4 linked regions of the Macaca fascicularis genome follow. The main gene of each other region encodes a partner of the protein of the gene in region 4 in a complex. Links are inferred from orthologs where the notes say so. Each region holds a gene or a part of one and is shown on either strand. Other genes may lie near its edges.

The links.
Region 1: KAT7 (region 4) and JADE3 share a complex: the UniProt entries of both Homo sapiens proteins name them as parts of the HBO1 complex. The link is inferred for Macaca fascicularis from reciprocal best matches to the Homo sapiens genes KAT7 and JADE3.
Region 2: the proteins of KAT7 (region 4) and BRD1 are in contact, whole or in part, in a crystal structure (PDB 5GK9), measured with the Homo sapiens proteins. The link is inferred for Macaca fascicularis from reciprocal best matches to the Homo sapiens genes KAT7 and BRD1. Residues at the interface, in NP_008998.1 of Homo sapiens: Leu531, Phe534, Gly536, Lys537, Glu538, Ile539, Ser540, Ile541, Lys542, Pro552, Val553, Val556, Gln560, Leu565, Tyr567, Lys571, His572, Leu573, Val574, Leu575, Lys576; in XP_047297239.1 of Homo sapiens: Val40, Ile42, Glu43, Ile44, His49, Arg50, Ile51, Ser52, Ile53, Phe54, Asp55, Pro56, Leu57, Glu58, Ile59, Ile60, Leu61.
Region 3: KAT7 (region 4) and ING5 share a complex: the UniProt entries of both Homo sapiens proteins name them as parts of the HBO1 complex. The link is inferred for Macaca fascicularis from reciprocal best matches to the Homo sapiens genes KAT7 and ING5.

The regions. Positions count from the first base shown.
Region 1 is NC_088395.1:47,018,083-47,024,196, forward strand, and holds the start of JADE3 (protein Jade-3), read left to right. Parts: upstream 1-2,304; 5' UTR 2,305-2,393; intron 2,394-2,473; exon of another isoform or gene 2,474-2,772; intron 2,773-6,114. UniProt on the Homo sapiens protein: Scaffold subunit of some HBO1 complexes, which have a histone H4 acetyltransferase activity.
Region 2 is NC_088384.1:1,728,712-1,734,879, reverse strand, and holds the start of BRD1 (bromodomain-containing protein 1), read right to left. Parts: upstream 3,889-6,168; 5' UTR 3,536-3,888; intron 3,438-3,535; exon of another isoform or gene 1,776-3,437; intron 383-1,775; 5' UTR 369-382; coding exon 1-368. UniProt on the Homo sapiens protein: Scaffold subunit of various histone acetyltransferase (HAT) complexes, such as the MOZ/MORF and HBO1 complexes, that acts as a regulator of hematopoiesis.
Region 3 is NC_088386.1:137,648,045-137,653,451, forward strand, and holds part of ING5 (inhibitor of growth protein 5), read left to right. Parts: intron 1-1,322; coding exon 1,323-1,489; intron 1,490-3,297; coding exon 3,298-3,409; intron 3,410-3,891; coding exon 3,892-3,985; intron 3,986-5,407. UniProt on the Homo sapiens protein: Component of the HBO1 complex, which specifically mediates acetylation of histone H3 at 'Lys-14' (H3K14ac) and, to a lower extent, acetylation of histone H4. Component of the MOZ/MORF complex which has a histone H3 acetyltransferase activity.
Region 4 is NC_088390.1:56,915,608-56,921,014, forward strand, and holds part of KAT7 (histone acetyltransferase KAT7), read right to left. Parts: intron 4,211-5,407; coding exon 4,063-4,210; intron 1-4,062. UniProt on the Homo sapiens protein: Catalytic subunit of histone acetyltransferase HBO1 complexes, which specifically mediate acetylation of histone H3 at 'Lys-14' (H3K14ac), thereby regulating various processes, such as gene transcription, protein ubiquitination, immune regulation, stem cell pluripotent and self-renewal maintenance and embryonic development.

The sequences.
Region 1 (6,114 bases), on a different chromosome or scaffold from region 4:
ATACCAAATGCTGACAAAGATGTGGAGAAACGAGATCTCTCATACATTGCTGGTGGTAATATAAAATGGTAGAGTCTGGAAAAGTTTGGCATTTTCTTACAACACTAAATATACACATACCATCTGACCCAGCAATTGCACTCCTGAGCATCTGTCACAGAGAAATGAAAACTTATGTTTACACAAAAACTTCTACATTAATGCTCATATCAGTTCTATTCTTAACAGGCAAACATTGGAAACAACTCAAATGACCTTCAATGCATGAATAAACAAACTGTCTAGTATAGACATCCATACTAGAGACTACTACTCAGTAATAAAAAGCAACAAATCATTGAGACATGCAATAAACTTGGGTGCATCTCAAGAAAATTATGCTGAGTGAAGAAAAGCTGATTTCAAAAGGTATGATTCCATTTATGTAATATTCTTGAAATGACAAATTTATAGAGATGGAGAACATGTTAGGGGTTGCCAGAAATTAGAGCAGGAGAAAGCGGTGACTGTGACTACAAAGTGTAGCAGGAGGAATCTTTGTGGTGGAGAAAAAGTTGATTGTGGTGATTACACAAATTTAAAGTGTTAAAATTGCACAGAACTATATACACAGACTCAGAAATCAGTGCATGAAAAATTGATGAAATCTGGAACAGGTCTGTAGATTGTATTAATGTTAATATCTATATTGTATTATAGTTATCTATAACCGTTGGGGGAAACTGGGCGAAGGGTACATGGGACCACTCTGTACATTTTTCTTTTTACAACTTCTGGTGAATCTATAATTATTTTTAAATAAGTATAATAAAGTGAGATAAGTCTGAAAGACTACGAATATTTTAGAACTCACACATTTCCATATTATGGAATATAACTAGATCTTTGACATGGAAAACAGACAAAATACAAAAGAGCCTACATTATTGTTCATCCTAGAAATGTAAATGAAAATAGCCCAGGACGGTAGCTCATGCCTGTAATCCTAGCACTTTGGGAGGCCCAGGCAGGCAGATAGCTTGAGCTTAGGAGTTCAAGACCAGCCTGAGCAACATGGTGAAACTCTTTCTCTACTAAATAAATAAATAAATAAATAAATAAATAAATAAATCGGGCCATGGTGGCATGTGCCTGTAGTCCCAGCTACTTGGGAGGCTGAGGTGGGAGAATCACTTGAGCCTGGGAGGTGGAGGTTGCAGGGAACCAAGAGATCTCGCCACTGCATTCTAGCCTGGGTGACAGGGAGCCAAGAGGTTGCAGTGAGTCAAGATCGAGGCACTGCATTCTGCATTCCAGCCTGGCGACAGAGCGAGACCCTGACTCAAAAAAAAAAAAAAAAAAAAAAAAAAGAAAGAAAAAGAAAAAGAAAGAAAAGGAAAAGAAAAAAGAAAGAGAATGAGTATGAGTTCATCATAGTTGCATATAGTACATTTCCAAACCCAGAGAGGTAAGCCAAAAAGGTTTGTTGCTTAAACATCTATATTAGGATTCAACCAAAGGATCAGAACCAGTAGGAAATTATATATATACACACACACACACACCCACACCCACGGCGCCCAACCCGCCAGAAGAACGCGTGGTGGGAATATATGTATATACACTCCCTGTTCATTCATTTCTTCGAAGCTATTGTCTTAGACGATTGTGGTGGTGGCTAAGTAAATCCAAAACCTGTAGGGCACGCAGTCAGGAAGGGAAGATCAGGAGAAGGCTAGAACCAATGGGCACCGGCCAAAGGTGTCATCCATAGGGGAAATTCTTTCTCTAACGTACTGAGCACCCTCAGCCCTGATTGAAAGGCTTTCCAACTGATTCCTTCAGGCCCACCTAGATTATCCAGGATTATCTCCCTAACTTTAAGTCAACTGATTAGGAGCTTTAATTACATCAGCAAAATACCTCCAGAGCAACACCTGAATTGACATTCTATCAAATAACTGTGGGCTGTAGCCTAACCAGTGGACACATCGAAAAAGCCACACAACATCACAAACCACCTGTGCTGGCAACTGACTAAATGAATTCTGTTAATAGCCACTTTGGCTTTATTATTACAGGTAATTCAAGCACAAGCGACATAAATCAATAACGGCCGCCGAGTTGATGTATGAGAGTCCCACTTTGGAACTTCGGAGTTGGAAGGGGCCATGAAAAGCTTAGTCCGTATTTCAACACAGCCTAGGCATCCGCACCTCGTCCTCTCTAGCGCTCGGCGGGGCTGGGGCGTCTCGGGCAGTGGCTCACCCAGCTGGACGGGAGGGGAGCCCACCTGGAACGCGGCGCCGCGGGTGCGGGAGCGGCGAGTGGGCGGGGCGTCGAGGCGGCGGGTGGCGACGGCGCCCAGCCCGCCAGAAGAACGCGCGGCGGGCAGACGGCTGGGAGCCGCTCCGGTAGGGCGAGCGCGGCCGGCGGTGGGTGGGAGGAGAGGTTGGGGGAGGAAGGAAAGGGAAGAGGCGGAGCGTGGGAGCGCACAGTGTCAGGAATACAATAGTGCTCCGCGCCGCCTCAGCCGCCGCCGCCGCCCAACCGCCTGCCCAGCGCTGAGGCCTGACGGGCCGGGCGGACGAGGGCCGAGGGCGGGAGCTGAGGCGCGGGGGGCGGCCCCGGCGGGGGGCGGGGGCGAGGAGGGGATTAAGGGGCAGGTGCGAGGGAGGGAAGAGAAGAAAGCGAGCGGTTAGGGGGGCGGTTACCACTCCGACCGGACTCACCCGGCACATTGCCGGGCCGCGGCGTGGAGCCGGGCAGGAGCCGCGAGCCAGCTGCGCGAAGGTAGGCACCGCGGAGGCCGGACCCGGCGCGGGCGAGGTTGGGGGCGTCGCGCCGGGTGGGCGGCGGGAGCGGCGGCCTCCGGGAGTGGAAGCGAGCGGCGCGGAGCGCACAGTCCCGGCCCGGCCTCGCCGCGCTCCGGGTCGCTCCGGTTCCACATCGTGGTCGCCTCCGGCGTCCCCGGCGCCTTGGGGCCGAGAGCGTGTGTGGGCTGAGGTAAAGTGCCTAGTGGTCCCTCTGCCGGCCCGGGCAGTGCTTGGTGGCCCGGGCGGGGGGCGGGGGCGGACGCGCGAGCTTGGCTGCAGCTCCCGGCTACACCGGGCAGGAATTGAGCGCCATAACTGTTGCGGCTCTTTCCTCCGGTGCCCCCTCCTGGCGCCCCCTCCTCCGTCCCTGCCCTTTGCCTGGCTTCGGGGCTGACGGGGCCAGACCCGTGGCGGGAGGACCTGCTCTGTCGACCGCCAGGGGTCGGATGCTCCAGGGAGCGAGGGCGCGCCCTGGCTGTTTAGATGTTGGGGGGCGGAAAGAACCGAGTGCCTGGAGAGGGAAGAACGGGTGGTGCTGGGTGCGGCGAGGCACCCCGGAGAGCTCGGGTGCCCACCCGGCGGGAGCGAGAGCGCGGGCGCCCGGCGGGTCGGCGAACTTTCCCTCCCGCTGGCGGCATTGTTCGAACTGCGGGTCCGTGGCCGCCGAGCGTCGGGCGGTCCCGGGGTGGGAAAATCGTGAGGGCTTTGCTAGTCTTTCGGAGAAATTTTCCCACCGCTGGGCACGGCAAAGTTAACTTTTCTCCAGCTTTCGAGTTCGTTTCATTCCCTCCGCCCCGAGGGCCGTAGTTTGTTTTTGTTTTGTTTTCTTTTTTGGTTTTTTGTTTGTTTAGTTTTTTTAAATAGCCTTCAATCTTTTTCTCCCGCTTTTCAGAGCAGAGCCAGTGCTTCGGTGGAGTCTAGCTTTAAATTGCACAGAGCAGCCTTCGTTTGTTATTTGTGAGGAGTGGGTGGCGGGATCTGGAGTGAGTGACCACAATGGTGGTATGTGGAGGCATGTTTCAAAGTTTTTATCGCTGTGCAGCCCTGGGACATATGTAGCTGCTAGGGATTTGGCAAGAAACTTGTTTGGCCGCTTCTCCGACTTTGAGTTGCAAGGAAATCCATGGCCTCAGATGTGCGCGAGTTGTTTTGTGTGTGTGTGTGTGCCGTGAGGTGCGTTTATCTCTGAAGCTGAGGATGAGATTCCCCCCTCCCGCCCTCTGATTGTGTAAGAAGTCAGAAACCGTGTTGAAGGTGATTCCAGTGGTGGCCTGGAGGGAAAGGCGACCTCATTCCCTGTGTTCAGTCTGATAAAGTGAACTGCTGCTCTCTAAATTTGGGAAGTAATGAAAAATAATTTAGGTAAAAACTGGTTGCACAACGTCTTTGCTTAGTTTAAGCAACCCGCAATCCACTTTCCTAGACCAGTTCTCCTCTTAAATACTTTCCCTTTGGCCACTTCTTGTCAGCCTAGGTCTGGGAGGGGGAAAGAGTAGGGCTGAGAGAAGAGTCGGTCTGAACAAAGCATTGTGTTTTTATTTAGTTTAATACTTCCAAAACATCTGTAGACAATGGGAATGTGGGTCCCGGCCTTCGTACCCTTTGAGTAGTGTGGTTCTTATGCTTTTGTAACATCATGGGATTACTCTTCGGATAAGTGAAAATAGATTTTTTTTTCTTTTTTGTTTAACCTAGAAGTATTCTACCTCCATATCATTTTCTCTTTCATTTAAAGTGAGCTCTGAGCTTAAATACTTGAACTGTAAAAGGATAATACCCTCTCTTCAAGGATTACCTGAGATCTTTGAGAAGTGTTTCAGTGCCCAGCGTGTATTCAACTCTCAATCGATGTTAGCCACCATCATTGCCACCTTTTCTCCAGTTGTGCTCTTCTTTACGCTTTTGTTTGCTAGAGAATAGCTTTTAACCCAATATTGTTGCCTTGCATTTTCTGTCCAGTCAATTCTGGAGTACTCAGGGGTGCAAGGCTGGCTCTAGAATTCACACTTTCTCTCTCCCCCCTTCTCTGAGTCATGTTGCTTGCCCTCAGCAATGCGATGTGAATCTGGTCACAGGTAGAAAAAAGTAGAGAAAGGCTTCCCACTCCTCCCTGAAGTGTTGTGACCCACCTTCAGGCCCGTAGGGGAGATTCCCAGGGGCAGGACAGGTGATGGTGTAGGGCTGGCATCATAGCTAAGAAGTATGGATTGGTGAAAGTTAAAGAGGAAAGGGTGTTGAAGACTTGTAGGTTTTGTATGGTTCTCTCCTTTAATAATGCTTGTCTTTTCCCTCTCCTGTGTTCCACCAACCATAACAACCCATTTTTTTCCCCTAACCTACACAAAGCTGTATCTTCTTTCTGCCCACTGCTTTGAGGTCAGTTTGGAACTAGGCAAGTATTTTGGAGGAGGTGGGGGAGGTAGGAGGCATCAGGTGTTGATGAAGACATGGCGTTAGAGAGCTCTTACAAGCCTTGATCAGAGTTGTAGAGAGCCAGTCCAAAAATGAAGTTGAACGTTATCATGGGACATAATGCACCTATCTCCTTGTTGAGCTTACACAAAATAGGAGCTGAGAAGACAGAGGTAATATGCTGTCTTACATTAAGAAAATCTCTCATTGAGGTATAATTTACTATGATCTTGACTTGCCCCACAATATAGGTGAGAAGTGAGTGTTAGGTGACACCTGTCTGGCACTCTCCTAACGTGGGGACACTTTAATGGCTCACAAGTTTCTGTTGTTCCAGTTACATTGGCTGGGAAAGCTGAAGCATTCTGGTTTGCATGGTGGGGAGGATCTAGGATGAATGGATAGAAGTGATAAAAGGATAAATGGTTACTAGCAAGTAAGTGATCATTACAGACCAAATAACTACCACTTTGAGTTTTGTTTTCTGGAATCTTTGTGACTCCCCCATGGTTATTTTTGCCTTGTTCCTGTAGGTTTTTTCATGGACAATAGCAGCAAAGTTCTTACCATTAGAACTGCCTCTGTGCTTTTCTTGGGAGAAAGTAAGAGAAAAAGGGTCTTGGGAAAAACTTGCCTGATTTCATAGCTAGGCTTGTGAAAAGGAAGGTGATAACTCAGAAGGCAACCAACTGAATAAAGGACCTAGTGTGGGAAAATAGTACTGGGGCTTTGACCAATAGGAGACACCTATGAGTTCATCAGTACTTTTCAAGCAGCAAATAATTTAATCTTTGCCACAACCCAGGAACCATGGCTGTGCCCTGCTACCCAAGGAGCTCCTTTTCACTTGGTATTGGCTGCTGGGCAAGGAAACCCGAGCCTAGAATGTGTTTTTTGTTTGTTTGTT
Region 2 (6,168 bases), on a different chromosome or scaffold from region 4:
CGCACCTTGGGCTCTGGAAGGGCGCTGGCCGAGGCCGGCGTGCCGTGGGCGCTGGGGAGGGCTTCATTTTTCTTTTTGACTCTGTTGTTTTTGTGACGCTTAGTTCTTAAGCAGACAGGGGGCCGCTCGCTGTTTTCCTTATTGCTGTTGCATTCACTCATCTCTTGAGCCGTGAGGTCATCTTCTAATATGATCTCCAGGGGATCAAAAATACTGATCCTGTGCAAGCGCCCTTCAATTTCTATCTCTACCATCCTTTGAGCTTGAGCGTAGGTCAGCGTTTCTCGCGTGGGGGAGTGTTTAACACTGCACGGGGAGGAAGGATGCCTCGCTGCAGAGCCTCGATGACATCGTCCTTTCCTCCTCATTTGGTAATGATTACCTAAAATAAAGGCAAAGATAAAGTTAATTCTATGCAGGGTGACCAAAGACTCGAGAAAGCTGCAAAAGTACGCTTGGGCAGATCTAGCTCACCAGCTCAAAACCCAATCAAAGCAAAACTCACAACTAACTTCTTTCCAAGGTGTCAAAAATCACGCATCCAGGCCCAAGCAACTCCCCAGGACCAGGGAGAGAACAGCGGTAATAGGCAGAGAGGCAGCCTGAGGAGCCCTCCTGAGCACCTGCATCCCTATCACTACACACCAGTCCCCTCTCAGACCACACCAACAGGCTGCGGAGACCACAGAAATGCTCCCCAAGAAGGAGGGGTCTGGCCCAGAGCCCACAGCTGGACTTTCCTGGCATGCAGGCGATCCCCCAGGAAGTCCACATATAGGGCTGGACCCCACCAGACACAGAGGCTATGCCCACCAGAGAGGCATGCTCAGTGGCTACCTGGTCCTATCGGATACTCCCCCTAAACCACTCTTCCCCTCCCCACTGCTCCCAGGAGAGCACCCACATGAGCCCAAAGTCACCACGGTCCTTGCAGCATTCCTGCTGGGCTAGGGGTAGGAGACAGACCACAGTCTGTCCATGCTCTATAGACAGGCCCTCCACACGCACACCACAGCACAGGGGACCAACAGGGGAGCCCTGTACTGGTCTGAGGGGACAGTCTTCGCCCCTGGGAGGCCCTAACCCCACTTCTGCAGAGCCTTGACAGTGACCACCATGGAAACACCCACAGGCCGAGTCAACCTGCCGCTTCCCCTCAGGGGCACTCCTCAAGCCCCAGTGAGACAATGGTGCTGGCCATGTCCTCCTCCTTTCCGAGCGAATCCGGATACGTGCAATACACCAAAGGGCATCTCTCTGTTCTCCCCGGCACACGTGAAGGTAGACACTCTGCTCAGGCTACACAGCGAGGGGCGGCCCCCAGGACCCCCTAGAAGCTTGCAGAGACCCTCACCAGGAGGGTTGCCAGCGCTGGCTCAGGTGCCTGAAGACTTGGTCACAGAGATTTAGGAGAATTTGCCGTTCCAGAGATGGGCAAAATCAGTGAGCTGCCACCCATACCTCCAGCTCCTTGTGGCAGAGGCCTCTGCTGTTCGAACACCACGGACTGTGTCTGTTCCCAGCTGTCCCCGGGGTGCCTCGTGTGTGGGCACCTCCAGTGAAGACCACCACCCGCCGGGCAGTGCCTCCCTCCAAAGCGCCACACTTCACTGACAGGAAGCAAAATGATTTTTCAGTGACTGACTCGCAAAACAAATATTCTCAGCTGAAGCCCAAGGCCCACTCTGCATCTAGCCCTGCAAGGTCAGGGACGCCTGGCCTCGGGGCCCAGGGGGAGCAGGGGCACCCGCAGCAGCCTGGCTTCAGAGCCTCACCCTGGGCCTAGATCTACTGGGCCTCAGAAAAAGCCCTCAGGGAGCAGGCTTCCCTCTGTGAGTCCCGAAAGGAAATCCCAGCCGACTTCAAGGGCACTTCTTAAGACAGACCCTCCAGCCACCGTGTATCTTTCCCTGTATCAGACAGAAATCCTCATTGTATGTTGAAACTAGATTGCAATTACCTACAGAGAGGACAGGAGAGAAAATGTGGTCAGCCAAACCTCAGCCCCCTTGCATTTCTAGGGCCTCCAGGTACCCACTCAACCCTGGATTCCTGGAGAGCTGTCAGTACAGCCCAGCCGGCCCTGGGAGCCCTGCAGAGGTGACACCACAGCCTGCAGAGAGCTACCCTAGTGCACCCGGGACGGCGACACGCGTCATTACTGAGGTGGGGCAGAAGCAACAGTTGGTTACTCACCAGATCAGAAACGAACCTGTAATTTTCCCTCGACAGCAAAGTCCTGAGTCGCCCTAACGACAAGCAGCCCCCGGAAACCCACTCTCTCCCAGGGAGCCGCGAAGCTCTTCATCTCAACACTTTCTACAAGGGGGAGAACTGAACCGAAGGCTTCACGGCCACAGCAGCTCTCAACACGGAACTGGGACCCGGGGAGAGTAGACCCTCGGCAGCGCAGGGCGACCCACGCCCTTCCCTGCTTCCCCGCTTCCCCCCTGGGCCGGTTCTGTCCGTGCTGGGACACGCATTTCCACGGGGAGGGATCCGCGGAGGCACACACGTCGCTTCTCAAGGAATAATTCCCTTAAGTACATCCTGAAGAGCTCTGCGGGCCAAAAGCAGGGAAGGCTGCTGCCCACAAGACGGCCGCTTCCCTCTTCCCACCGCCCGCCCAGGGAGAAGCCGACCACGCGCCGGGCCGCTCCCTAAAGGCCACGGGAGCCGCGGCCGCTGAGCTGTGCGAAGTTGTGTGAAGCACACGGCACTCGGGACGGCGCTGGGCCAGGCAAACAAAAACCTCCGCCGATTCCACTAACTACACAACCACCTGGCGACCGACCCTCAAAAACAGACCCGGACGGCCGCGCTTTCTGGGGGACGGGCCCGCACCCCGCGGGGCAGGGGCTCCTGCTGCTGAGGATTCTCAGAACTCCCGCGTCCGCTCACAACAGCCGCGTTTCCCGTGAACTGCGCTTCAATCGTGTCACTCGTTTAAAAGGCCCGGGGAAGCCTCGCGTTCGTCGCGAGGCGTCTCCCTGCAAACGCCCGGGGAGGCGGCGGCGCCGGTTCTCCAGCCCGGCCGCCGCAGGCCGCGCGGCTCCTGGGCGATCTCGGGGCGCGTCCCTGCTCACAGGGAGTTCCCGTCTGGGCAGAGCTCGGCCGGCCTGTCTGTTACATAAGGGGCGGCCCGGCCGGCTCGGCGGCTGCCCGAGGCCCGACCCGACTCGAGCGCGGACTCCGGGCGGGCGCCGCGGCCCAGGCCGCCGAGACCCATAGCCCGACTCGGCCTCCCTCGACTCCCCGGCCTGACCTCCCCGGTCTCCCCGCCCGGCCTCCCAGGCTCCCTGCCTGTCTCCCCGGCCGCCCGGCCCGAACTCCCCGGTCTCCCCGCCCGGCCTCCCCGGCATCCCGGGCTCCCGGTCCGCGGACAATGCGGAGCCGCCGCCGCCGCCGCCGCCAAACATGGCGTCGGCACCACAACCCCGAGAGGCCGGGCCGAGGCGGAGGCGGCGGCCCGGGAGGCCCGGGCGGCCCGCGAGGCGGCGGGGAGGCCTCCACGGCCAGGCCTCCGCCCACTCACCTTCGGGGCGCCGCGGCCGCGGGAGCCCGGCAAGCGGGCGGGCGCGGGGGCCGGCGCGGCCGAGGCGGCGCTAATGGCGCCCGCGGCTCCTCCGCCAACGGCCGCGCAGGCCGGGCCCCGCCGCCGCTCCTGGGCGCGGGCTCCTCTCGGCCGCGGCGGCTCCGGGCCCGGCAGCGGCGGCCGCGGACTCTCGGGCGGCGGCTCGCGCGGCGCGGGCTCGGGGCCCGGCTGGAGGCCCGGCTCGGGGGGCCCGGCCGGCGGGCGCGGGCGGCGGGCGGCGGGCGCGGGACGCGGGGCTGGCTCGGACGCCAGGGCCGGGTCGCTCGCTCGCTCCCCAGCGAAGCAAACAATGCGGCGAGCGCTCCGCCCGGCGCGCTGCGTGCGAGACGCGCCCCGCCCGCCGCCGCCATGACGCGCGGACTCCGCCGCCTCAGCGGCGCGCGGGGGAGGGGGCGTCGCGAGGAGCTGGGGCCAAGTGGGGACCCTGAGGCGGCAGGGACCGGGCTGGGAGTGGGGGGTCGGGAGGATGGAGAGTGGGGGCCCTTGAGTTAGGGAGGACCGGGCCAGAGGGTCCCTGAGGAGGTCAGGAGGATGGAGAATGAGGGGCCCTGAGGCAGGGGGACAGGCCTAGGAGTGGGGGACCCGAGGCAGTTGGGGAGCAGCCGGGAGTCGGGGGCCCTGAGGCAGAAGGGCATTGGCCCGGGGTGGGGTCGCTGAGGCGGGGGGACGGCCCGGGAGTGGGGGACCCTGAGGCAGGGGGTACCACCGTCCGGGAATGGGGGACCCTGAGGCCGGGGGACCGGCCGGGAGTGGGGGACCCAGAGGTGGGGGTACCGGCCGGGAGTGGGGGTCCCTGAGGCAGAAGGGCATTGGCCCTGGAGTGGGGGGGCCCTCGAGGGCGGAGGGGGGAGCAGCCGGGAGTCCGGGGTCCTGACAGGGGGGACCGGCCAGGAATGGATGGCCCTGAGGCAGGGCGATTGGCCCAGGAGTGGGGGGCCCTGAGGCAGGGGGCGATTGGCCCCAGAGTGGAGGGCCCTAAGTGGGCAGAGGGGACCCTGTGGGCCCACTGGGTGGAAGTGGAAGGGGCACTGGCCGGGGCACCCGACTAAGTAGGGGAAGGTGGTGCAGCCGGGCTGGGGAGCCTCCCCTAGTGAGTGTCAGGCCAGGTGTGCAAGTAGTCCTGCCAGTGTGAGGGCCCTGCCCAGTCCGGCGTGAAGCAGATGCCCTTTGAGGTTGCAAGAAAAGGCCCCTGCGGGCGCGAGTTGAGAGGCCTGAGTCTCTGCCTTCGCTTTGGCCTTTTGTGTAAACTCTAAAATTCAGTGGGGTCATAACAATTTTCACTCCAAGATTAAGTCCCAAAATGTTTTAAGGTGAGGCAGGAGCTCCTTGGTTTCCTTGAGAATCTGTGATCAGGACGATGGTGCTGTGGAATCCCTGGGTTCCAGCAGCCCAGCCTGTGGCATCTAGGCAGGCCCCTCGGGCGGAGCAGCTGTCCACCCTGGGACAGACCTTCCCCATGGGGCAGCAGAGCGGCCCCACTGCTCAGGGCACTGCATCAAACACCTTATTGGGAGTGGGGTGGCTTTGTTCACCCAGGTGTCCCTGATGGGGCAAAGCCCCACAGGCCTTTTCCTGGCCAGCCCTCATGCCCATGGCACCGTGCGTGGGTTGTGATGTGAAGACTTGAGGGCAGGTAGGACCCCAGCCAAGGTCCCTAGTGGTCAGTCCTGATCTAGGACTCCCTGCAGACACACCCTTGAGCCGAGAGGGTGCAGGCCACTGGGGCCCTGACCTCTTCTGCACGAGACCCAGGAACTTCGTGTCACCTCCATTCTACTGATGTCTGTTTACCTGTGGCCAAACAAGCAAGCTGAGCCGGAACCCTTCTCTCCTCCACCTCAGGGAAGCCAGATGGAAACAAGCTGGAGGTTCTCCACAACGCAGAGTGAAAGTAAGACACAGTCTCACGAAAGAGAAGATGAAGAGACACAAAACCCTTCACAGAACAGGAGAGAGACGGGGACAGTGACTTCTCAGACAATGGAGGTGATGCTCAGAGGAGAGAAGAACAAAGCCTCGAATGTAGGCGTGTCAGAGGGAGACTCAGGAAGGCCTTCGGAGAGAGAGAAAGGATCTTTTTTAGAGTTCAGACTGATCCTACAGAGGAGGGGTTGCCAAAATACTAAGAGAATTGAACCATAACTCATACACAGTGAAACTAGCGTTCCAGTGAGACAGCAAAATAAAGGTGTCTTCACGGCTTGTAAACATCCATGTTTACCACACACGCAGTCTCTAAAAGTACTAGAAGAAATACCTTAACAAAGTGAAAAGTGGACTCAAGAGTAAGACGTGGATGCTAGCAAATAAATCAGTCTGGTCTGTTAAAATCAACCTGAGAGAAATCCCAGATGAGCTCAACATGACACATGGCAAGGCCGGGCACAGAAGGAAGTGAAAGTGCACGAAAGCTCTTGTATTGTTTGGTTTGAGGATTTTAGAATCAATAGAAAAAAAGGTTAAAAATTTTAGCTGGGCATGGTGGGTCACACCTGTAATCCCAGTACTTTGGGAGGCCAAAGCAGGCGGATCACCTGAGTCGGGAGTTCAAGACCAGCCTGATCAACATGGAG
Region 3 (5,407 bases), on a different chromosome or scaffold from region 4:
CACGTTTTGCAAGACTGAGATAGCTGTGTTTTTTCGCTTAGGTACAGCATCTTGACTAGGGAATATAGAGAGTTATTTAATTGCAAAATGTAACATATATTCAGAAATGAGGTACAACATTTATAGATTGCTTAACAAATATTACCAGGTGAACCTCTCTGTTTTCTGCTACTGAGATGGAGAAATCAAGCCCTTTAGCACCTGAAGACCTTTGTGACCCTCCTAGTCATGACACCCATCCATCCAAGGGGTGACCATCTTGAGTTTGGTGATAGTCACCTTCCACCTTTAACAGTAGTTTTCTTTTTTTTTTTTTTCTGAAATGGAGTCTCGCTCTGCCATCAGGCTGGAATGCAGTGGCACAATCTCGACTCACTGCAACCTCTGCCTCCTGGGTTTAAGTGATTCTCCTGCCTCAGCCTCCTGAGTAGCTGGGACTATAGGCGCGTAACTCCACGCCCAGCTAATTTTTGTATTTTTAGAAGAGGCGGAGTTTCACCACGTTGGCCAGGATGGTTTCCATCTCTTGACCTCATGATCCACCTGCTTTGGCCTCCCAAAGTGCTGGGATTACATGCGTGAGCCACCGCGCCCGGCCTTCAACAGTAGTTTTCTTACCTCTCTAAACCAAAGAGTTACGAGCTGTGTCTGTTTCTGCCCTTTGTATTAATGGAATCATCCGGTATGTTTTCTTTTGTTTCTTGCTCTTTTTGCTCTGTGTCACCTTCTGTGGGAATCATCCGTGTTGCTGTGTGTAGCTGTGGTTTGCTCTATTTGTTGCTGAGTAGCACTCTGTTGTCTGAAGGGACCACATCTGATTTCTCCATTTCACTGAGGATTGGACATTTGGGTTGTTTTCTGTTTCCTGCTCTTATGAATGTTTTCCCACGTGTATTTCTTTAGGTTACATAAGGTTTCTTTAGGGTGTTTAAGAGTAGTATGTTCTTTCTTGACTGCTCTACCGAAAAAAAAAGAAAACAAAAAAAAGAGTAGTATGCCAGGGCATAGGAAAGGTGACTACATAATTAATTATTCACACAGGATGTTTGAGAGTCAAAGAGGGCACTGTGACCACCTGCTGTGTAACATTCAGAACTGGGACTGTTCTGGGCACGCTGCCGTAAAGTCTGCACATCCACATGATCCCAGACTGTTTGTGCAGAACGGTTCTGCCCACTTGCACTCCCACCAGCACGGCGTGAGTTCATGTCAGCCTACGTCTTTGCCACAACTTGGTGTTGGCTGACTTTAGTTGTTGCCGGTCTAGTGAGCCCATCGTGGTGTCTTGTGCAGGGCTAGCTTTTCCCCCATTTCTCCATCAGATAAGAAAGCAGAGATTGACATCCTGGCTGCAGAGTACATCTCCACGGTGAAGACGCTATCTCCAGACCAGCGCGTGGAGCGCCTGCAGAAGATCCAGAATGCCTACAGCAAGTGCAAGGAATACAGCGATGACAAAGTGCAGCTGGCCATGCAGACCTATGAGATGGTGAGGGTGGGTGGGGGCCACGGCACCCGCAGACCTATGAGATGGTGAGGGCGGGCGGGGGCCACGGCACCCGCAGACCTATGAGATGGTGAGGGCGGGCGGGGGCCACGGCACCCGCAGACCTATGAGATGGTGAGGGCGGGGCGGGGGCCACGGCACCCGCAGACCTATGAGATGGTGAGGGCGGGGCGGGGGCCATGGGTCTTCCTCCGACCTCTACTGCCTCTCATGCAACAAAATGTAAAAACTGCCCAGAAATGGGCATAGCCAAGTGGAAGGCTAGCTTTGGTAGCCTGACGCTGCTGGAGGAAATACAGACAAGATACACTTCATGTGGGACCATCCTTGTTTTTTTTTTTTTTTTTTCTGGACCCTTTTTGTTTGTGTATCTGCTCGGAGGAACCATTTGGTTTTTTTTTTTTTTTTGAGACAGTCTCACTTTGTCGTCCAGGCTGGGGTACAGTGGTGTAATCTTAGCTCAGTGCAACCTCCGCCTCCCAGGGTCAAGTGATTCTCGTGCCTTAGCCTCCCAAGTAGCTGGGATTACAGGCATGCAGCACCACCCCCACCTAATTTTTACATTTTTAGAAGAGACGGGGTTTCACCCTGTTGGCTACACTGGTCTCGAACTCCTGACTTCAAGTGATCCGCCCGCCTCAGCCTCCCAAAGTGCTGGGATTACAGGCATGAGCCACCATGCCCAACCTCCAGGTGGCCATATTTTATTTTATTTTACTTATTTTTTATTTTATTTTATTTTATTTTTGAGACAGTCTTGCTCTGTTGCCCAGGCTGGAGTGCAGTGGCATGATCTCAGCTCACTGCAACTTCCACTTCCCAGGTTTAAGCGATTCTCCTGCCTCAGCCTTCTGAGTAGCTGGGATTACAGGCATTACCAACAGGCTAATTTTTGTTTTTTGTTTTTGTTTTTTTTTTGAGACAGAGCTTTGCTATTGTTGCCCAGGCTGGAGTGCAATGCCACTATCTTGGCTCACCACAACCTCCGCCTCCCTTGTTGAAGCAATTCTCCTGCCTCAGCCTCCTGAGTAGCTGGGGTTATAGGCACGCACGACCAAGCCCGGCTAATTTTGTATTTTTGGTAGAGATGGGGTTGCTCCATGTTGGTCAAGCTGGTCTCGAACTCCTGACCTCAGGTGATCCTCCTGTCTCAGCCTCCCAAAGTGCTGGGATTACAGGTGTGAGCCACCGTGCCTGGCCTGTATTTTTAATAGAGATGGGGTTTTGCCATGTTGGCCAGGCTGGTCTCGAACTCCTGACCTCAAATGATCCACCCGCCTCGGCCTCACAGAGTGCTGGGGCTATGGCATGAGCCACTGCGCCTGCCCTAATTTTTGTATTTTTATTAGAGACGGGATTTTACCATGTTGGTCAGGCTGGTTTCGAACTCCTGACCTCAGGTGATCAGACTGCCTCGACCTCCCAAAGTGCTGGGATTACAGGTGTGAGCCGCTGCACCTGGCCTCCAGGTAGCCACATTTTAAAGTAGGATTCAGCGTCAGATATCCCAGGCCTTGTTCACCGCATTTCACAACTCTGCTTCTCATTATTGCCCACACGCCTGTCTTTTCCTTAAATGGGATTCATTCCACTGCAGTCAAAATATGCAGAAAAAGCACAAGACCTTGCATGGACTTTGAAATAGTGGGCCTGGATTTAGCAGAGGTTTGTTCACTGACGACTCAATTAAAGGGCAAGAAGGCATTTCCTAGTGGATACTTTTGTACATTTGTGATTTCTAAGGTGTTTCAGTTTTACTTTAAAACAAGACTTTGGGTATCCTTTTGTAGGTGGATAAACACATTCGAAGGCTTGACGCAGACCTGGCGCGCTTTGAGGCAGATCTGAAGGACAAGATGGAGGGCAGTGATTTTGAAAGCTCCGGAGGGCGAGGGTTAAAAAGCAAGTCTGTTAAATTTTTTTCTTTATTACTGTTAACTATGGCGTTTTGAAGTTTTGTCACAGTAAATCATTGAAGTATGATCACTAGGGTAAGTATCATATTTGGGTAAACCTTGTCTTGCAAGCTGGGCACAGTGGCTCACGCCTGTAACCCCAGCACTTTGGGAGGCCAAGGCAGGAGGATTGCTTGAGGCTGGGAGTTTGAGACCAACCTGGGCAACATAGTGAGACCTCATCTCAACAAAAAAGTTAAAAATTAGCCGGGTGTAGTGGTGCACACCTGTGGTCCCAGCTACTTGGGAGGCTGAGGTGGGTGGATTGCTTGAGCCTGGGAGGTCAAGGCTGCGGTGAGCTATGATTGTTCCATTGCACTCCAGCCAGCCTGGGAGACAGAGCGAGACTCCTTCTTAAAAACAAAACACAAAACTTGCCTTGCTTTAGCGAATTCTATAAAAATAATTTTCATCTTGATTGTTTTTCAGAAGGCCGGGGTCAGAAAGAAAAAAGAGGGTCCCGGGGCCGAGGCAGGAGGACATCAGAGGAAGATACACCAAAGAAAAAGAAGCATAAAGGAGGGTAAGAGGCTTTCCCCTCTTTTTCCCAGAAGAACAAATACCCATAGCCAGTATCCCGGATGTAGAAACACTGATGGAAGCTGACCCTTGAGTGAAGTGCACTCCGTGTGCTGGGTAGCATTCGGGTTCTTCTGGTTCTTATGCTGTGTGCCTGTCATCAGCCCGTCCTCACCGCAGCCATGGAGGGGGTGCCGTTGTTGGGCATTTTCCGTGTCGCAGGGACCTGCCCAGGCGTTAGAGCTGCTGTGGTGTGGCTGGGCCTGCACCTGGAGTCTGACTCCAGTGCCTGTCTTCTTAGCCACGGTGTGTGCTGCCCCGCTAGGGACAGTAGGTTGGTGAGCGTGTTGTTGACAGAGGCCAATGTAAACCACTCTTCAAGTAGCTAGATTTCTGTGTATCTGTCAGTTATTTTATGTGTCAGTATATAGTTTGCATATATTCATTGTTAAATTATGTGGCCACATTTATTAAATAGACATGTCATTTAACTTGAAGTTCTTTGAGATACTTTATTTAAAGCATTCTCCCACTGACACCCTCCCTGCCAAAGGTATTGTGTACCCTCCAAAGAGATCAGAGCATTACCTCGGAGGAGTGACATTTAGACTAAAGAGAAAATGCTGAAATGCCACAAAGCCTCTATGGAGATGATTCTGGTGGGGAGTGGTCAAAGAGTGTCAGTTTTGGGCATGGTGGCTCATGCCTATAATTCCAGCACTTTCGAAGGCCAAGGCGGGAGGATCACTTGAGCCCAGGAATCTGAGACCAGTCTGGGCAACAAAGTGAGACCCCCATCTCTACAAAAAATAGAAAAAATTAGGTGAGTGTAGTGGCGTGGGCTGTAGTCCCAGCTACTAAGGGAAACTGAGCTGGGAGGATCGTGAGCCATGATCGCACCACTGCACTCCAGCCTGGTCCACAGCGTGAGATTCTGTCTCAAAAAAAAAAAAAAAAAGAGTTCTTCATGACAAAAAAGGCACCATTTTCAGTTTTTTTGTTTTTTGTTTTTTGTTTTTTTTGAGACAGGGTTTCACTCTTGATGCCCAGGCTGGAGTGCAATGGCACAATTCTCCTGCCTCACCCTCCTGGATAGCTGGGACTACAAGCATGCACTACCATGCCCAGCTACTTTTTTGTATTTTTAGTAGAAATGGGGTTTCACCATGTTAGCCAGGCTGGTTTCGAACTCCTGACCTCAGGTGATCCACCCGCCTCAGCCTCCCAAAGTGCTGGGATTACAGGCGTGAGCCACTGCACCCGGCCCAATTTTCAGGTTTTTTTTTTTTTTTTGAGATGGAGTCTCACTCTGTCACTCAGGCTGGAGTGCAGTGGCACAATCTTGGTTCACTGCAACCTCTGCCTCCCAGGTTCAACCAGTTCTCCTGCCTGAGCCTCCTGAGTAGCTGGGACTACAGGTGCATGC
Region 4 (5,407 bases):
CCAACCTGATGACAAAGGAAATGAAAGAAATTCAAAGCTAAAAGTAAAGCATTTTTTAAAATATATATAGATATGTTTTAGTTTTTTTTTTTTTTTTTTGATAAACAGACATGCTTAATGATAGCTTACGCTCTACAGAGATGACTACGGAGACTTTTAATCTATAATCCGGGAGTATATAACCATGCAGTACAGACCAATTAGCCAAATGTAAAATAAACTAGATTCTTACCACAACTACCCTATAAACACTGCAGCTATTCTTTGCAAAAGGATCCTACATCTTATGTGAAAACACCTAGTGTGGGGGAACCAGAAACCTAGCTATGTGGCCAAAAGTAAAACCCAAAGGAAAAAATAGCAATTCAGTGGTTAATTGGTGAAAACAGGAAATTTGTGCCCTTTACTGTGCTACTGCTTTTGTCTTCTTACTTTTGTTCTTTTTGTCCCTTCAGCCCATCCATGTTAGCACTCAGTAGGTCTGAATAAGCCATCTGAAACTTATTCACTTGCTTGGAGCTCACCACAGTGCTGACCTTCTTTTTCCCATAGATAGCTCTTAGCAGACACTTGTCTGAGGGCTCAAAGCCCTCCACAGAACCTTTCTTTGGAACAGGTTTGGTTCGACCACTCTACTTCTTCAAGGTGATATAGATGCTGCCCAACCTCCAGCACTTCTGGAAGAGTCTGGTCAGCTCCATCAGGAACTGCTCGCTCTCCAACATCATCGTGGTGATGCTGGCTCAACTCCCTCCGCGTAAGCCCCTAGCAGTCTTAGCTTTGTTTTAATCGACGCATAAGTGTACATATTTATGGAGTATACTGTGATGTTCTGATAGATGTATACATTGTGTAATGATGAAATCAAAATAATTAGCATATCCATATCTCAAACACTTGTCATTTCTTTGTGGTGAGAACATTCAAAATCCTCTCTAAAGTATATTTTATTTTAATTAATTAATTTTTTTTTTTTTTGGAGGGCAGGATGCACAGGCCAGGTGTCAGCCTCACTCTCTCGCAGCTGCACCCCCCAACGGATATTTTAACAACAAAAAATCTGAAGAAATCTTATAGACTCTCCAAAGAAGAAAACTGAAAATTTCCAAACTTTCGGGTGAGAAAAGTTAGCACACAGCAAGGTTATCAACTTGTACATCTCCAGGGGCCTCCTTTCACAATATGATCTACATTTTGCTCTAGGGAGGAACACCTTACATTGATGACATTGTAAATGGTACCCCAGAGTTGTGCAACTCTGTGGTCACGAGGTCAAGACCCAGGGCTTACGCATTTCCTAGCTGTTTTGAATATTTAGTTTTCAGGTGTCTAGGGCATGGTCAATTATACTTTCTACGAACATTATGTCTTTTCCTTAGCATATGCTGTTCCATCTGCCGAGAATAACATATTCCCATCTTTCAACTTGTAAATTCCTATCAGAGCCTTTAAGACGTCAGTGTGCAGCCCGGCACGGCAGCTCACGCCTGTAATCCCAGCACTCTGGGAGGCCGAGGTGGGCAGATCACTTGAGATCAGGAGTTCAAGACGAGCCTGGACAACATGGCGAACCCCGTCTCTACTAAAAATACAAAATATAGCCAGGTATGGTGACGCTCACCTGTAATCCCAGCTACATGGGAGGTTGGTGCAGGAGAATTACTTGAACCCAAGAGGCGGAAGCTGCAGTGAGCCAAGATCATACCACTGCACTCCAGCCTGGGCAACACAGCGAGACTCTGTCTCGACAACAACAAAAAAGACTTCATCGTTGTGGGAGTGCTGCCCTAAGTTGGCTATCCCACCTCTGGGCTTCTGTAGTACTCTATGCAAACCCCTCTCACAGCCCTTGCCATAATATATTCCCATGACCAATTTTCATATCTATATCTTGCACTGAACTGTAAGATCCTTGAGGACAGGAACTATGATTTTTCTATCATGGTTCCTAGGACATAACATAGTGCTTGAGTTATAGTAGCTATTTATCCATAGTCTCATTGTGGTAAAAATTTAAAGCTTAAGAAATCAAGAGACAATAGCAATACTTTAGCTGAAATCCTAAATTCAAAAATAAAGTTAATGGCGTAAACCTGGGAGGCAGAGCTTGCAGTGAGCTGAGATCCGGCCACTGCACTCCAGCCCGGGCGACAGAGCAAGACTTCGTCTCAAAAAAAAAAAAAAAAAAAAGTTAAGAACAGTTGTTAAAGAGGATATTCCCACTTTCTTGCTTGAAAAACTGATGGTTTTTCTCTCGTTGTGCAACATACTGATATAAAAGTGACCAAAGCGGCAGGGCACGGTGGCTCACACCTATAATCCTAGCACTTTGGGAGGCCGAGGCAGGCAAACCACGAGGTCAAGAGACTGAGACTATCCTGGCCAACATGGTGAAACCCCACCTCTACTAAAAATACAAAAATTAGCTGGGCATGGTGGCACATGCCTATAGTCCCAGCTACTTGCAGGTTGAGGCAGGAGAATTGCTTGAACCCAGGAGGCAGAAGTTGCAGTGAGCCAAGATCACGTTACTGCACTCTGCCTGGCGACAGAGCGAGACTCCATCTCAGGGAAAAAAAAAGTAACGAAAGCAACACTGTTGAAGTGCTCAAAACATGTTAAAGCTTTTTTCCCCTAATCTATTACCACCTATTGATCATCAGCTCTCTATATTAGCTACAACCTTCTTTCCTCCTCAGGGAATACCAGAGAAGAGCCAGGAGGGGTCAAGGGTACCCTCCAAATTTAACCCCAGATGCCTAAATGCACTAGAGATACTTCAAACTACCTTCCAACCCCAAGATCCTCAATTCTTTATTACCAAAGCAAAATTCTATATTTCCACACTGATATTTTGGTACAATTATTAATATTTATCAAGTGTGTATTGGATTACATTCCAGAATTAAACATGGTTTTAGAAGTACTGGGCCTCTGCCAATAACAAGTCCAAGAGACTACAGATGCTCCTTGACTTATAATGGGGTTAAGTCCCAACAAAACCATCATAAGTTGAAAGTATTAACAGGCTGAACATGATGGCTCACATCTATAACCCCAGTACTTTGGGAGGCCAAGGTGGAAGGACTGCTTGAGTCCAGGAGTTTGAGACCAGCCTGGACAACATAATAAGATCTCCCAAGTAGTCCCAGCTACTCAGGAGGCTGAGGTGGGGGGATCACTTGGGCCAAGGAGGTCAAGGTTGCAGTGAGCCAAGATCACACCACTGCACTCCAACCTGTGCAACAGAGACCCTGTCTCCAGAAAATAAAAGCACTATACACCTAACCTACCGAGCATCATAGCTTAGCCTAGCCTACTTTAAATAGGCTCAAATCACTTACATTAGCCTACAATTGTGCACAATCATCTAACACAAAGCCTATTTTTAATAAAGTGTTGAATATTGCATGTAATTTATTGAAGACAGTACACTGAAGAGTACTGGTTTACCCTCATGATCAAATGGCTAACTGGGAGTTACGGCTCGCTGACTGGGAGTTATAGCTCATTGCCACTATTCAGCATCACAAGAAAATATTTCAGCCACATATCACTAGCCCAAGAAAGGACTGAAATTCAAAATTCGAAAAGTTTCTACTGAATGCATATTGCTTTAGCACCACAGTAAAGTTAAAAAAATAATAATAATTAAATCAAACCACCATAAGTCAGATACCATCTGGACTTCAAGTCCCTAAGCCTAAACCATTCAAACAGAAAGTGAAGGGATAACATTTTCATTTTACTGATGGAGACACGGCGATGTAAAAAAACAAACAAACAAACAAACAAAAAAACACAAATGACTCAAGACATACATGTGTCTCTATCCATTATACCATCCACAGTTCCTTTGGGTCTACAAACTGGATAGCAGCCCCCAACAGAAGCATTGTTAAAGACCTGACAACTCTGCATTCACTCCACATTTTACCAATCATCTGGTGCACCGTCATCTACACCAAGCCAAGGGACCAGTTTCCACATTAACTAGGAAAATAATGTGATGGGCCAGTCAGCCAGATGTGAGGAGTGGTAAGGAAAAATGAAGATTTTTACCTTGAGAACTCTGGCTTAGCCTGGCTGAGGAGCGGGTGACTCGAGCAGATCGTCGGGATGTGCCATCACTTTCTGAACTGTCTGTGTGCTCGAGATCTGTAGAAAAATCGGAATCTTCGGTTCCATCTGAACTACTGCCTGCATTCCTCTGTAATACCATAGATCCAGATATTAGCACAGAAGCATTTGGTCTGAGGGTTTGCATTAACATTGAAAATAAAACAAGCTGTGACACCGAAAACACCAAGTTCAAACCTAAGAAAGGATTCCACAAGCATTTCCCATCCTCCCACCCACCCAGGCAACTTCACTTTATTTAGAACACTTAAATGGAACAATGTACAAATAAGGGACTTTTGTTAAATAAATGAAGAGCTTCCATTTCATTGGCTCCCGTTGCCCAGGCTGGAGGGCAAGGGCACAATCTCAGCTCACAGTAACTTCCGCCTCCTGGGTTCAAGTGATTCTCCTGCCTTGGCCTCCCAAGTAGCAGGGACTACAGGCACCCACCACCACGCCCAGCTAACTTCTATATTTTTAGTAGAGATGGGGTTTCACTATGTTGGCCAGGCTGGTCTTGAACATCTGACCTCAGGTGATCCACCCGCCTTGGCCTCCCAAAGTGCTGGGATTACAGACGTGAGACACCACACCCAGCCATGAAGATAATTAATTCTTACTGTATTAGCACTAAGTATGAACCAAGATCATTCGGAGATCAGTATCACAAAAAAAGGTCCACTGTAGTGAAAAAATCGTTGGTGCTAGACCTCATTTAACTTTAGAGTAGCTTTTGTTAAATGTCTCCATGAAAAGCTATCATATTTTTTTAAAACCATATACCATCTCAAAATATCATGGACCACAACTCTGATCCCAAAAGAATTTAAGCAGAAAAAGACGAAAATTGTTACTGCGTATGCCATCTATCCTTGAAGTTTCTCCACATGAAAGCCATCTATCTTTCAAAAAGGCAGCTTGCACATGGAGACTCATGGGTATTCAAAAACAGTTGTTTTCAAAACCATCTTTTCAATGAACAATTATTTGTCAATTATTAACCTCCTCAGGAGTTCTTTCTTAGCCATAAAGATAACTTTTATCAATTGAGCACTAACACTATACCCTTTACAAAACCAGAAAGGAAAAAATATTTGCTAAAAATACAAAGATTCACGCTGTAAGTCCCAATTCTTTATTCAAAACCCTGAGGGCCAGTTGTGTTTAGAATTCGTATTGTTTTTTTATTTTTAGAAGGGGAGTACTTTGCATGTATCCTGCAAATATTGGGTGCAATAACAAAACATAATACTTCTGCAGCAAAAGATATAAACAGTCACACTAA